Saccharomyces cerevisiae S288C: one gene and its partners. The gene in region 4 interacts genetically with the main gene of each other region. Each region holds a gene or a part of one and is shown on either strand. Other genes may lie near its edges.

The links.
Region 1: mutations in SEC66 (region 4) and NEM1 together harm fitness more than expected from each alone (negative genetic interaction), as found in Saccharomyces cerevisiae (4 studies listed by BioGRID).
Region 2: mutations in SEC66 (region 4) and HAC1 together harm fitness more than expected from each alone (negative genetic interaction), as found in Saccharomyces cerevisiae (5 studies listed by BioGRID, with this or other methods).
Region 3: mutations in SEC66 (region 4) and PSK2 together harm fitness more than expected from each alone (negative genetic interaction), as found in Saccharomyces cerevisiae (4 studies listed by BioGRID).

The regions. Positions count from the first base shown.
Region 1 is NC_001140.6:111,254-114,926, reverse strand, and holds NEM1 (Nem1-Spo7 phosphatase catalytic subunit NEM1), read left to right. Parts: upstream 1-1,832; coding exon 1,833-3,173; downstream 3,174-3,673. Other genes in the region: GPA1 (guanine nucleotide-binding protein subunit alpha), read left to right, coding at 10-1,428; TCD1 (tRNA threonylcarbamoyladenosine dehydratase), read left to right, coding at 3,610-3,673. UniProt on the Saccharomyces cerevisiae protein: Catalytic component of the NEM1-SPO7 complex which acts as a phosphatase and dephosphorylates the phosphatidic acid phosphohydrolase PAH1. Essential for the formation of a spherical nucleus and meiotic division.
Region 2 is NC_001138.5:73,601-76,715, reverse strand, and holds HAC1 (transcription factor HAC1), read right to left. Parts: upstream 1,538-3,115; coding exon 877-1,537; intron 625-876; coding exon 569-624; downstream 1-568. Other genes in the region: protein kinase RIM15, read left to right, coding at 2,289-3,115. UniProt on the Saccharomyces cerevisiae protein: Transcriptional activator involved in the unfolded protein response (UPR) pathway. Recognizes and binds to the UPR element (UPRE) in the promoter of UPR-regulated genes such as KAR2, PDI1, EUG1 and FKB2.
Region 3 is NC_001147.6:241,675-247,318, forward strand, and holds PSK2 (serine/threonine protein kinase PSK2), read left to right. Parts: upstream 1-1,822; coding exon 1,823-5,128; downstream 5,129-5,644. Other genes in the region: LDS2 (Lds2p), read right to left, coding at 1-767, 831-1,073; PEX15 (Pex15p), read left to right, coding at 5,476-5,644. UniProt on the Saccharomyces cerevisiae protein: Serine/threonine-protein kinase involved in the control of sugar metabolism and translation. Phosphorylates UGP1, which is required for normal glycogen and beta-(1,6)-glucan synthesis.
Region 4 is NC_001134.8:576,528-579,486, forward strand, and holds SEC66 (Sec63 complex subunit SEC66), read left to right. Parts: upstream 1-1,836; coding exon 1,837-2,457; downstream 2,458-2,959. Other genes in the region: NPL4 (nuclear protein localization protein 4), read right to left, coding at 1-1,559; SMY2 (Smy2p), read right to left, coding at 2,623-2,959. UniProt on the Saccharomyces cerevisiae protein: Acts as a component of the Sec62/63 complex which is involved in SRP-independent post-translational translocation across the endoplasmic reticulum (ER) and functions together with the Sec61 complex and KAR2 in a channel-forming translocon complex.

The DNA of each region.
Region 1 (3,673 bases), on a different chromosome or scaffold from region 4:
TAGGAAATAATGGGGTGTACAGTGAGTACGCAAACAATAGGAGACGAAAGTGATCCTTTTCTACAGAACAAAAGAGCCAATGATGTCATCGAGCAATCGTTGCAGCTGGAGAAACAACGTGACAAGAATGAAATAAAACTGTTACTATTAGGTGCCGGTGAGTCAGGTAAATCAACGGTTTTAAAACAATTAAAATTATTACATCAAGGCGGTTTCTCCCATCAAGAAAGGTTACAGTATGCTCAAGTGATATGGGCAGATGCCATACAATCAATGAAAATTTTGATTATTCAGGCCAGAAAACTAGGTATTCAACTTGACTGTGATGATCCGATCAACAATAAAGATTTGTTTGCATGCAAGAGAATACTGCTAAAGGCTAAAGCTTTAGATTATATCAACGCCAGTGTTGCCGGTGGTTCTGATTTTCTAAATGATTATGTACTGAAGTACTCAGAAAGGTATGAAACTAGGAGGCGTGTTCAGAGTACCGGACGAGCAAAAGCTGCTTTCGATGAAGACGGAAATATTTCTAATGTCAAAAGTGACACTGACAGAGATGCTGAAACGGTGACGCAAAATGAGGATGCTGATAGAAACAACAGTAGTAGAATTAACCTACAGGATATTTGCAAGGACTTGAACCAAGAAGGCGATGACCAGATGTTTGTTAGAAAAACATCAAGGGAAATTCAAGGACAAAATAGACGAAATCTTATTCACGAAGACATTGCTAAGGCAATAAAGCAACTTTGGAATAACGACAAAGGTATAAAGCAGTGTTTTGCACGTTCTAATGAGTTTCAATTGGAGGGCTCAGCTGCATACTACTTTGATAACATTGAGAAATTTGCTAGTCCGAATTATGTCTGTACGGATGAAGACATTTTGAAGGGCCGTATAAAGACTACAGGCATTACAGAAACCGAATTTAACATCGGCTCGTCCAAATTCAAGGTTCTCGACGCTGGTGGGCAGCGTTCTGAACGTAAGAAGTGGATTCATTGTTTCGAAGGAATTACAGCAGTTTTATTTGTTTTAGCAATGAGTGAATACGACCAGATGTTGTTTGAGGATGAAAGAGTGAACAGAATGCATGAATCAATAATGCTATTTGACACGTTATTGAACTCTAAGTGGTTCAAAGATACACCGTTTATTTTGTTTTTAAATAAAATTGATTTGTTCGAGGAAAAGGTAAAAAGCATGCCCATAAGAAAGTACTTTCCTGATTACCAGGGACGTGTCGGCGATGCAGAAGCGGGTCTAAAATATTTTGAGAAGATATTTTTGAGCTTGAATAAGACAAACAAACCAATCTACGTGAAACGAACCTGCGCTACCGATACCCAAACTATGAAGTTCGTATTGAGTGCAGTCACCGATCTAATCATCCAGCAAAACCTTAAAAAAATTGGTATTATATGAAGGAACTGTATAATTAAAGTAGTGTTTAGATACGTAAATTCTGTTTCCGAAGATGCAAGAAGGAGCAGCAGCACCAGAAAAAATTACTATTTTTCTTCTCCATTAGAGTCTATGATGGAATGCCAAATGAAAAAGCCATTTTGTTCAACAGTTCTTGATCTCGTTAAATCGTTCCGGGTTTTCAATTGAAAAACAAGGGTAATAAAATCGCATGAGAAAAAAAAGGTCCAGACACTTTTTTAGAAGAAAAACTCTTGAAAACAATTGATTCTTCTACGTAAGGACAGGGTATTATCTCGAATTCTTCTCCCTGGTAAATACTCGGGATATATAGAACCTATTTTGCATCCTATTCTCACTTTTCTTTATTGTTGTTAATTTCTGGACATTGTTTCATTAATTGAATGAATGCCCTAAAATATTTCTCAAATCATTTAATAACTACAAAGAAACAAAAAAAAATCAATGTTGAGGTGACAAAGAATCAAGATCTACTAGGCCCTTCAAAGGAAGTTTCGAACAAATATACTAGCCACAGCGAAAATGATTGCGTTAGTGAGGTGGACCAACAGTACGACCACTCCTCAAGCCACTTAAAAGAATCTGATCAAAATCAAGAGCGCAAAAATTCTGTTCCTAAAAAACCAAAAGCTTTACGTTCCATCCTAATAGAGAAAATAGCGTCAATTTTGTGGGCACTACTACTTTTTCTTCCGTATTATCTGATAATCAAGCCCTTGATGTCTTTATGGTTTGTTTTTACCTTCCCACTAAGTGTCATCGAGCGTCGTGTAAAACACACCGATAAGAGAAACAGGGGTTCAAATGCTAGTGAGAATGAGCTGCCTGTCAGTTCAAGCAATATTAACGATTCTAGCGAGAAAACAAATCCTAAAAATTGCAATCTAAATACGATTCCCGAGGCAGTTGAGGATGACTTAAATGCCAGTGATGAGATAATTCTACAAAGGGATAATGTTAAAGGCTCATTACTTAGAGCTCAATCTGTCAAATCAAGGCCAAGAAGTTATTCCAAATCAGAACTATCACTTTCTAATCATTCAAGTTCTAATACCGTATTTGGTACAAAACGAATGGGAAGGTTCTTATTTCCAAAGAAGCTGATACCTAAATCCGTGCTTAACACACAAAAGAAAAAGAAACTGGTTATAGATCTCGATGAGACCTTAATTCACTCGGCTTCTCGAAGTACAACGCATAGTAATTCTTCTCAGGGTCACTTGGTGGAAGTGAAGTTTGGATTGAGCGGAATTCGTACACTATACTTTATTCACAAGAGGCCTTACTGTGATTTATTTTTGACAAAAGTTAGCAAATGGTACGACCTTATCATTTTTACAGCATCCATGAAAGAATACGCTGATCCTGTGATAGATTGGTTAGAAAGCTCCTTCCCATCCAGTTTTTCAAAAAGATATTACCGTTCTGATTGCGTTCTAAGGGATGGTGTTGGATACATTAAAGATTTGAGCATTGTCAAGGACTCCGAAGAAAACGGGAAAGGCAGCTCCTCTTCTTTGGATGATGTCATTATTATAGATAACAGCCCGGTAAGTTACGCAATGAATGTAGATAACGCTATTCAAGTAGAAGGATGGATAAGTGATCCAACTGATACGGACTTACTGAACCTGTTACCTTTCTTGGAGGCTATGAGGTATTCAACAGATGTCAGGAATATACTGGCATTGAAACATGGAGAGAAGGCATTCAACATAAACTGACAATTGTTATTGTGTCCTTCCAAAAAAGATGAGAATTTTAGGTGATAAATCGCCTATCCATTGCTGCTCATTTAATGGAAAGGTTATTGCATTCAGGGAAAAAAGTAACGGGAGAAAAAAGAGAAAAGACCTCTTTTTTGTTTTCTACATACGAGCATATTAATTATTTAGCAGGAAGATATACTTGATCTAAACAGTATATATATATATATATATATATATAGGTTGGGAATTAATCTTGAAATTTTTTTAGTCTTACGTTATCTTCAGCAGTGACACGCTAAATGCCCGTATCTTACTTTACATTTTGCTGTCAGGTTTTTTGATTTCTTTTTCATATTTTATGCAGTAGCGAAAAGAGACAAGACTATGAAAAAATTTTCTAGCGTTAGTAAAGTATTAATACTGCAATTAGTTAGGATAGCAGAACGAACAAATGGCAAATAATACGTGGAAGTTAATTGCTACTACAGCTCTTATATCGGTGTTTTCAACCCAAC
Region 2 (3,115 bases), on a different chromosome or scaffold from region 4:
AGAGAGCCGTGAGAGTGAGAGTGATATGATGACTAAGGTCCTTTCGAAGGTATTTGATATAGTTATCACTCATTGGCCCGGAGTTAGGGGGAGATGTTCGCTTGCGGGAGCACGGGAGAAGGAACAGAGCGGCGTTAGCATCAAGTCTAAGGTTGAAAAGCTGCCCAACCTAAGGGCATACATCAAGAATTCTTTATAGTTTTATATAAAAAAATATATATATAGATAAATAGACAGATAGATATGACACAAACAGATAGAAAAAAAGCAGAGCGTGGCTCTTTGAGGTGGAACCCCAGCCAGTCTTGCTCCTTGCAGCCAAAAAAGGGTCTTGTTCAAGAGCTATGTTCAGTGTCGCTGCCCAGTCGCCACAAATAATTGTAGGAGGGCGCGCCAACCTCACGTTTGCATTCTTGAAAAGCCTCTTCTTCTTCGGTTGAAGTAGCACACACTAACCGGAGACAGAACAGTAGAAACCACTAAGCGAAAAAGAAATATATGAAAAGAAAAAACCCACCAACAGCGATAATAACGAGAAAAAAAAAATTATACCCTCTTGCGATTGTCTTCATGAAGTGATGAAGAAATCATTCAATTCAAATGAATTCAAACCTGACTGCGCTTCGGACAGTACAAGCAAGCCGTCCATTTCTTAGTAATAAGAAAAGAATGGCTCTATTTGTTCAGGAAAAACTAGCATAAAAGAAAAAAAGAAAGCTTCCAATAACCCTGCATTCTGCTTTTGAAGGTACTTTAACCGGCTCCTCCCCCATCAGAGAACCACGACTAAAAAAAAAAAAAAAGAAAAAAAGCAGAAAGCAAAAGCTGGGGCTAGTGTTCTTGTTCACTGTAGTTTCCTGGTCATCGTAATCACGGCTGGATTACGCCAATTGTCAAGATCAATTGAATTGTCAAAGGGTAGACTGTTTCCCGCTATATCGTCGCAGAGTGGGTCTGCCAACGGCGAGGCCACCGCATCAAACAAATTGTTGTTGTCTACGGCAGGTAGCGTCGTCGACTCTGGTACATTTTCCGTCTTAAACATCTGCAGCTCCCATGAAGTCTCTTGGTCCGACGCGGAATCGCGCATACTCTTGGGCGACAAAGTCGCAGGCTCCATTGTACAGTTCAGAGGTGAAGGTGTGAACGTATCAGACGACGAGTGCGAACTGGCCCTGGTGTCCAGTGAAGCGCCCCTCGTGCTCTGGAAATCCCTGTACTCGTCAAGAGAAGCAACAAAAGCGTCGTGGCTGCAAGTCAACGCGTCTTCGTGGTCAGCCAGTTTTTCAAGGTTGACGCTGTTCAGTAAATTTTCCAAAAGAGAACATTTTCTCTCGAGATACTGCAGATGTAGTCTTTTTTTCTCTCTGCTCTGGTGAGCAGCTCTTCTGTTTCTCAAAATACGCTCGATCCTTCGCTGTTCCTTTTCCTCTTTTGTCTTGGCTCTTTTCCTTGGAGGCAGAGTCGACTTGAAGTTGGTAGGGATAGCCAAGTTCGATTGCGAATTACTAGTTAGTTCAAAATCAGTCATTTCCATAGTGGCGGTTGTTGTCGTAGGTGGGGGAGGAGGAGGTTGTTATGTTTGACACTGAGTTAAAGCCTTGGAAGTTTAAATAAAACAAGAAGACAAGAAGAAAGGAAAATTTCGCTAAAAAACATATTTCTGTATTCATTTCTCGAGTTGTCCATTGAGGTGAAATTTCTTCTAATATATAGTGAATGTAGGGAGCGAGAACAAAAGAGAACAAGGTGTTCAAAACCACGTTCATCACTCGGTACGATGTATATTTGCGACTCTTTTTAGCCCTACTTAATGCTGAGCCACTTTGCCTTACAACCCTCATAAATGTATTTTTATCCTAGCTTCTTTTTCCATATTGCCCTAGGTCTTGTTTATTCATGTCACGTGACTATATTTCCAGGTTTTTCTTTTTTTCCTCGTCCCTTTTGTGGGAAAAGAAAGCGTCCTTACTAAAAATGAGGGAGCTTTAACTTTAATATACAGCTTTTGGCAGCTTGGTGTTGTTTTTCATTGTAAAAATAAGTTGTTGTTCGTATCACAGCATTTTCAACTTCTGCATTGTCTGCCGTTTTTTGTATAGATATAGACGTATATATATATACAGAATTCTCTATCCTCTTAACCACTCCTGGAAGGCCTGCTGTAGAGGTTCTGGTGGGTGCTTTTACTGAATTCCTAACTCATCAAGCATTTTCCCTTTTTTTTTTTCCCTTTCCTTTCTCTTGCCTCATTTGATAGAATAGATAAGCCCAGTAGAGGAAGACAGATGTTCAATAGAAGTAACACCGCAGGCGGATCTCAGGCTATGAAAGAGGGACTTGGCATAAACAAGCTCTCCCCGATATCATCGAATTCGAACCCAAGCTCATTGACTTCCTCCAATTATGAAAAATATCTGCAGCTGGCCACAGAGAAGAATCCGTGTATGATCTTGGAGCTGGAACTGGACGGCAAGGTGCGATATGGCTCTCCACAGTGGAACACGATCACAGGAGTCGCCGATGATAGTGGCTCTTCTCCGACGTACATTGCAGACCTTATTCTCGGATCCGATCAAGATAAAGGTGTCTTTCAAAAGGCCACAGACATGCTGCTCATGAATGATGACACCAGTTGCACTATAACGTTCAAGATAAAGGCAGCCGACTATGAAGGTAGCGCAGGCTGTGACGATGAAAGTACGATAACGACCTTGGAAGCACGTGGTATCTTAATCAGGGATGGCCACACACAGTTGCCCTCTCACACGATGTGGATAGTCAAGCCTCGCACAAACGACTGGTCAGACTTTTATGCCAACGAAGACGCTCAAGACGACATGGTCATCCAGTTATCCGATAATTGCGACGATATCGATATCCAACTTCCCGAAGAGTTCGCCAAGACGCTTGGGTTCGGCGCTAAGATCTTCGTGCAGTACTTGAAGAGAATACGACTGGAAATGATAATAGACGAGTTCAATCTACCTCTGCCAAAAATGGAACTATGCCGGGTCTGTGAGAACTTTGTCCCTGTTTGGTGGTTGGAGACCCATTCGCAAAGTTGCGTTTGCGAGCATAGAACGGAATCGCTCATACAATTACTACACGATAA
Region 3 (5,644 bases), on a different chromosome or scaffold from region 4:
GGCTCTTCTGGTTCCGCAGGAGGGGAAGGAGGTACGGCTGGCTGGTCCCGGTCTTTTATCTCTTTAACTATCCAAAGCGAAGCACCTACTGCGTTTGTTCCAATGAACAACCCACCCAGAATGGGAATAGACTCTAATAAACCGCTGGATATCGAGTAAAGGAGCCACTTGGCAAAGCCCTTGTAGTAAACTTTGGAAAGTTTGCGCGAATCCAAATGTAGCACGTCAACAAAATAAGGCTCAAAATAGTAAAATCCCATTCCGGGGCTAAATGGTAGCATATTGATTGTAATTGGACCCACTATTGGAACGAGCAACAATAAAAGAAACATAAAGGCTATGAAGATGTACCAGAAGAAAAAAATGAAAAACTGCGGCAAAGAGACGAGGTAAAACCGTTTCGAAAAGAGGCCACCCAAACGATGTGACCTTCTGTAGACAAAGGGCGTGAAACTTATCGTTTCACAGGCTTCACTCAACTCTGTTAATCCCTTTCTTGCGAACGTCACTCCATAAATACGTGTGAAAAGAACGAAATCGGTACCCTTCACCATAGAATTACATAGCGTTGTGGAAATCAGAATAGTTTGCATATAAGCCAGAGGTAACGCAAAGAGTCCGAGAAAGGGCAAATAGATGCACACTAACAAGGACCACGCAAGGATTGACGTAAACGCAACAATAAGCAGGAGATTCAGCAGGTAGTATCCAAATATTAGGAAAAATAGATGCAAATAATCCGAGTTTCCCACGGATTCGCTAATTCCCTTCAAAGGCGGTTAGTATGACGGCTTAAAAAACATGATCTGCTTATTGGAACATCAACATACTTTATACGGATACCAGATGATCTGGTGCGACGACTCTAGGTCTTTCCAAAAATTGTCTTTAACAAGCATAGCATTCTTGTACCATCGAACTATCGGAGCCTTGTATGCCATCCAAATTTTTGATTTCTTATGGTTCCCTTGGTCTTGGATGGGGAGTAATTGTGGTTCCTCCCCTTCTGCCAGTGGCGTAGAGGCATATGGATGTCTATGGTAATACCAATCAGGTTGGGGTCTAGTCGACATGTTTGCTTGGTGTCTTAGCAGCTCTTATAGTTCTAATGCTATAACTAAGAAAGTAATAATAATAATAATAAAAAGCTTTATATAATGTTTTATTATGGAAGTTTCGTTTTTGTGGCGCGACGCGATCAGCCAAAATCAGCGGAAAAATTCGTCGGAACATTTTTTTCTTTTTTGGCCAAGCTATTGTTACAGGTGGGGCAGGGGCAAGAGACGATATGTCATCGCGAAGCTGTAAAGACACTTGTCGAAGTGATAAAGCGCAAGAGCTGTTTGTCTACGGAACCAGCAAGTACTATCTAATAGCGTGTTCCAGAGAATAACAGCATTTTTCAACTTCTTTCTCCTGGTGTGAGTAATCAGTACGTGAAAAGAGAACGAAGTTAAAAAAAAAAACAAGAAAAAGAAACAAGATCAAAAGAAACGATAAAGGCTGGCTTATAAAATAATAGCATCGCGAACGATCAATAAGGGGCCCTGTTTATTTTTAACAAAGTTTACATATTTCGTTTTCCTCTTTAAGCTGACATCACGTCTATACCCTGTTTTATTCCTTGTTAGAAACATAACGGAGCAGGTAGTAACAACAACAGTATAAACTATCATAAACTTTTTTCCTTCCTTATTGGTGACTTTTAACACTTAGAATTCTAAGTCTGGCAAGAACAGTAATCATACTTCTTTGCAGGGCGTTTTATTGTTACTCCTCTGCCCTGCTAGATTAAAGTAAAGAATCATAAACAAAGAACACAATGACATACCCGGTTAGTGCAGCCGCTCCTGCCGACATTTCATATTCTAAAAATACCCCGTTGGTAGGGCTCTCTAAACCTCCATGCTTGTACCAACACGCTTCCTCGTCCGTCGATTCGTTTTCGTCAACATTCAGTGATGATGATCGTTCGGACCTTGTTGCTGTACCTAATGAGTCGCCGCATGCATTTTCGTATAATCCCATATCACCAAACTCACTGGGAGTAAGGTTGACCATCTTAAGAAGGTCTTTGGAAATAATGGTAAACAGTCCTGACATCTTACATGAGTTGAAGAAAAAAGCACCCGTAATAGCATACCCCCCCTCACTTAGACACACAAGAAACTTAACAGAGACTGCCACGTTATCAGCATCGCGAGATCCGTTAAATGGGTCTCTAATTTCACCATTAGTATCCAATATGCCATCTCCTGCTAGTAGACCCGTGATACAGAGAGCAACGTCCTTAATGGTGTTGCCTGATAATGATACTGCCAGTAAACTGAATCCAGCCAAGTCCGAGTTAGAAAACTTGTTATTCTTGCTAAATTTAGCATTGGAAAACAATTCCTTCGAAAGAGCTTCCGATTTACACATGCTATCGTTATTGAATATCAAGAAAATAAACTTTGATTCAGACATTCAAAAATCAGAAACTTTGAAAAAGGTTTTATTAGATAGTTTAGCAGAACCATTTTTTGAAAACTACAAGAAGTTCCCTCACAAAGATTTAGGTTCGAAATCGCAATATAATGAATATGAGGAGAAACACGATGATATAGTCTCCTTAGCAGACATCAAACCACAACAGGACTATAGCCGAATTCTTCATCCTTTCACATCTGCAAAAAATTCTGGTCCAGAGGCCATTTTTACATGTTCTCAACAATACCCCTGGAACTTCAAAGCTGCCAATGATTTGGCGTGTCTAACGTTCGGTATATCAAAGAATGTTATCAAGGCACTTACTTTACTAGACCTTATTCATACGGATAGCAGAAATTTTGTTCTAGAGAAAATCATGAATGCAGAAGATGATAACCAAGAAATTGTGTTTACCGGAGAAACTATACCTATCGTCCAGCCAAATTCGACAAGCAATAATAATGTACCAAATCTGATTTGGGCTTCACTATGGGCCAAGCGGAAGAATGGCCTACTGGTCTGCGTATTTGAAAAAACGCCTTGCGATTACATTGACGTCATGTTAAACTTGAGAGATTTTTCAGTGGACAGCATTATTGATACAACACACTTTCTGGAAAACTTTGACAAGAAAAAGCAGCAAGAATCAACTTCGCCAATGACAGAAAAGAAAACGGTAAAATTTGCAAATGAAATTCACGATATTGGGTCAGTAAGTCACTCACTGAGTAAACTAATTGATGATGTACGTTTTGGAAAAGTGTTTTCTGCAGATGATGATTTATTACCCTTGTCTATCAGGGTGGCAAATCATGTCAACGAAGAGAGATATTTTACGTTGAATTGTCTATCTGAAAATATACCATGTGCTGTTACAACTTCCGTATTGGAAAACGAAATAAAATTAAAAATTCATAGTTTGCCCTATCAGGCTGGGCTATTTATTGTTGACAGTCACACTTTAAGTCTTTTAAGTTTCAACAAATCAGTCGCCAAAAACATGTTTGGCTTGCGACTTCACGAGTTGGCCGGTAGTTCGGTTACTAAGTTGGTTCCTTCTTTGGCGGACATGATATCTTATATCAATAAAACTTATCCTATGTTAAATATCACATTACCAGAAAATAAAGGATTGGTTTTAACAGAACATTTTTTCAGAAAAATTGAGGCTGAAATGCATCATGATAAGGACTCGTTTTACACTTCTATTGGTCTAGACGGCTGTCACAAAGATGGTAATTTGATAAAGGTGGATGTTCAATTACGGGTCTTGAATACGAATGCTGTATTATTATGGATTACACACTCAAGAGACGTGGTCATTGAAAATTATACCACCGTTCCTTCGCAGCTACCGATGTTAAAGGAGAACGAAATTGATGTCGTTGGCAGTAGAGGTAGTTCCAGTGCATCTTCCAAGAAATCTTCGGAAAAAATTCCTGTGAATACTTTGAAGGCAATGGCTGATCTGTCGATTAGCTCCGCTGAAACGATTTCTAATTCAGACGATGAAGTAGACTTAAATCAAGTGAATGAAAAACTACGAGAAACTTCTTGCGGTAAAGTGAGAGGTATCGAATCTAATGACAACAATAACTATGACGATGACATGACAATGGTTGATGATCCTGAGTTAAAACATAAAATTGAATTAACGAAAATGTACACGCAGGACAAATCAAAATTTGTAAAGGACGACAACTTTAAAGTGGATGAAAAATTTATAATGAGGATAATTGAACCGATAAACGGAGAAGAAATCAAAAAGGAAACAAATGAGCTAGACAAAAGAAATTCTACTTTAAAAGCTACGTACTTGACTACTCCAGAGGCTAATATAGGCTCACAAAAGCGCATAAAGAAATTTTCTGATTTTACTATTCTGCAAGTGATGGGTGAGGGTGCGTACGGTAAAGTCAATTTATGCATTCATAACAGAGAACACTATATCGTGGTCATCAAAATGATTTTCAAAGAGAGGATTTTAGTAGACACATGGGTGAGAGATAGAAAATTAGGTACTATACCTTCTGAGATCCAAATTATGGCGACCTTGAATAAAAATTCCCAAGAAAATATCTTGAAGTTATTAGATTTTTTTGAAGATGACGATTATTATTACATTGAAACACCGGTCCATGGAGAAACTGGTAGTATTGATCTATTTGATGTTATCGAATTCAAAAAAGATATGGTTGAACATGAAGCTAAACTGGTGTTTAAACAGGTAGTCGCTAGTATAAAGCATTTACATGACCAAGGAATTGTTCATAGAGACATAAAGGACGAAAATGTTATTGTTGATTCTCATGGCTTTGTAAAATTAATCGATTTCGGTTCGGCTGCCTATATCAAGAGTGGACCATTCGATGTTTTTGTGGGAACAATGGACTATGCTGCACCTGAAGTCCTTGGTGGTTCCTCTTACAAAGGTAAACCACAAGATATTTGGGCTCTTGGTGTGCTACTTTATACCATAATTTATAAAGAGAATCCTTATTACAACATTGATGAAATCTTGGAAGGTGAATTAAGGTTCGATAAATCGGAACATGTCAGTGAAGAATGCATCAGTTTGATAAAAAGAATTTTGACAAGAGAAGTTGATAAAAGACCTACTATTGATGAAATATATGAAGATAAATGGCTTAAAATCTAGTTTTCCGTACTCTCCAAGATAAAGGGAAAGAATAATTTAATCCATTTTCATAACCATTTACCTTCATAAATGTTCTATTCTTTTTTTGGCTATATATTAATTACATTTTTAATATCATATCATTGCTCTATATCCTTCTTGTCCAGCCTCTATGCAGTATTTTCTTTCATTCTATTTTGGGGCAAACTTCTGCGCTGAGCGGCTTATCGCCGTCGGAGTGACATCAAGTACCATAGAAAAGTCATCGTAGACTTACATATTTAGGCAAGAGAAATAGTTAGGTAAACAGAAAGAGGCACTAGCAGAACGTACTACGGTGTGGTTTATACAAGAGGGTTCTGTGAATAATGGCTGCAAGTGAGATAATGAACAATCTGCCTATGCATTCCCTCGATTCTTCTCTAAGGGATTTACTTAACGATGACTTATTCATTGAAAGTGATGAATCGACCAAGTCGGTAAATGATCAGAGGAGTGAAGTATTTCAAGAATGTGTGAACCTTTTCATAAAAAGAG
Region 4 (2,959 bases):
AAAAGATTGAAATCTCCACTTGAAGCCACATTGAATAAATACTTTTTTAATTCTTGATAATCTTGAGATTGCCCCATAGCTTGTCGATTGCTCCATGGAAATCCGGTGGAACTAACGAATTTCGAGTTGGTTTCCGTATCGGTATTCGGGAACCCATGAGTCAGCGTCACTAAAAGATAGTCTACCGGAAATGCAGGCTTCGCATTTTCCTTCACTGTTATACCATATTCATTCGACTTCATGTAAAATATCTCAGGTACATATCTTTCATCTGTAGTGTCATTAATATATGCCATTGAAGGAAATGTGGACCCACTTATCATATCTGCAGTAACCAATGCTTCAGCTTCTGTGGATACTTGGTAGCTCGAAATATCAATTTCACCTTCCAAATTACCTGATATAACGCAAGTTACAAACTTGGAAGAAAAAAAACCTTGTTCGCTATACTTGCTTACATTAGGATGCCTTGTTTGATGCCTAGCAGCCATAATAACTTCTAATGATGAAAGAAAAAACGAATCCTTATGTCTTTTGCAAAAAACAGACCCATCCCCAGCTCCCGCGTCAGATAAATCTGTAAATATTAGGCCAATTCGCGAAAGCCCCATTTCTTGAGCCTGTCTATCAATCTGTAGCATTTCATTCTTGACCTGTTCTACGTCCATGGTTAAACCGTCTTGCTCATCATGCTGAGGGGGCTCGTATATCGCCTCAACGACGGCCTTTATACCTAAAGGTGTGTTATCATACTTAGAATAAGATCCGTACATATAGCCAAATCTTTGCATACCCGTGTACCTCCACGCCTGAATAAATTCATTAATTATTTCACTCTTCTGAAATTCAACGTGGTCAACCATTCTAAATTCTTGCTGTTGTAATGTAATTGCCGATGGTTGACATTTAGAACATATCCCCCGAGGCCATGGTTCATGGCCATTATGGCAACGCTTATTGATTCTAAAATCAGGTTCTGAAAGAGGGGAAATATAAGAGCTGCCGTTCTCCTTCTTATTAGCATTTTCATTTAGCTTTTTAAGATATGAATGAAACGATATATGTTTGATCTTATTCTTCTCATGATATTCTTTGTCCCAAGGAGGTAAAGGCGAGCAGTATTCACACATACCTCTATCACCGTGCTTGCATAGTTTTGATTTTTGACGAGGAATTAATCCGTCCTCTTTCTCTAGTTCCTCATCTACAGCGAGTTCTTTGATCCTTAGTGGACCGTACCTGTGTTGACGAATTCCCTTGCTGTCAATACCTACGGATCCGATTTCAACATTGACACCATCTTTCTCATTAGCGGGCTTGTCCGAATAGTTAAGGATCAGCATGTCACCGTGCTTTAGTCCTAGATCCATCACTGTTCGATCAGCTAGTTCAGAAACAGCATGAATACCTTGACCGGGCTTCTCACAAACAGTAAATGTGTCGACATCGGCATTGGGGTCCAGATTACCCACCAACTTTTCAATGACCGTTCCGAAAAGGTCGTTTTCTTGACAAGAAACCCTGTGTGTACCGTTTTTTGATCTAAATCTGATAAGCATACTTCACTTAAATGTATATCGATATCAGTAGTATAGGGAAATTTTTCTTCAGAGTACTGTCCTATTATTTGCCACTCTTCGTTCTGTATGTTACGAGGGCGTTCCTTAAAATGGGTAGACGCATCTTATTACCCGCCAAAAAACGTCAAAAGTTTTAGGAACACGTCTAAAAGTTGAAATAATATGTGAAAAAATTGATGAAATATTAATGAAATGGCTTATTTAAACGAATTCAAGTACAGGAAAGAGGTACGCACAACTACTTGAGTTTGCCAATATGTCCGAATTTAATGAAACAAAATTCTCCAACAACGGGACGTTTTTTGAAACGGAAGAGCCAATTGTGGAGACGAAATCAATCTCCGTTTATACCCCACTCATATATGTCTTTATTCTGGTGGTGTCCCTTGTGATGTTTGCTTCAAGCTACAGAAAGAAGCAGGCCAAAAAAATTAGTGAGCAACCATCCATATTTGACGAAAACGATGCCCATGATCTGTATTTCCAAATAAAGGAAATGAGTGAAAATGAAAAAATTCACGAGAAGGTGTTGAAGGCCGCTTTATTGAACAGAGGAGCAGAATCTGTTAGACGATCATTAAAGTTAAAAGAGTTGGCTCCTCAGATAAACCTTCTATATAAAAATGGCTCTATTGGGGAGGATTACTGGAAGAGATTTGAAACTGAAGTTAAATTAATTGAATTGGAATTTAAAGATACTTTACAAGAAGCTGAAAGATTGCAACCGGGCTGGGTTCAATTGTTCGTTATGGTTTGTAAAGAAATTTGCTTTAATCAAGCTCTCTCTAGACGTTATCAATCAATCTTGAAACGGAAAGAAGTGTGTATTAAAGAGTGGGAGCTGAAAATAAATAATGATGGAAGATTAGTCAATTAGTGCCTACTGTGTGCAAAGATATGTATTCGCTCGTTCAGTGTTTTTTTAAAAATATGTATAGAATTTGTCATTATCTGCGTTAAAAAATAGTTATAAAGTATATACAATAACAATAAATGATAAAGAAATATGCAGTGAAAAGAAAAAATTATGAAGCTTTTCCTTTCAGTGTTTTCTACCCTTCTTCTTGCTCACTACTTGGAATTCCCAGCCGTCGTCATCATTGCCTGATAGAGCTAGCGCTTCATTCCAACTTAGTGGATCATCACCTTGTTTTTCGCACGCAACACGTCTTTTAATAAATTCAGTGGCAAATCTTCTACCATCCATAACGTCACTATTGGCATAAATTGTTTCTTGAATCAATTCTTTAGATTCTGGCCCCGTAGGTAAACTCAATAATAGTTCTAAGACATTGTTATTGGTTATTCCAGAATTTAATTTCATCTGTGATTTACACCATTTGATAAATTCTTGCCGGGGAGAAACATTGTTCATGCTA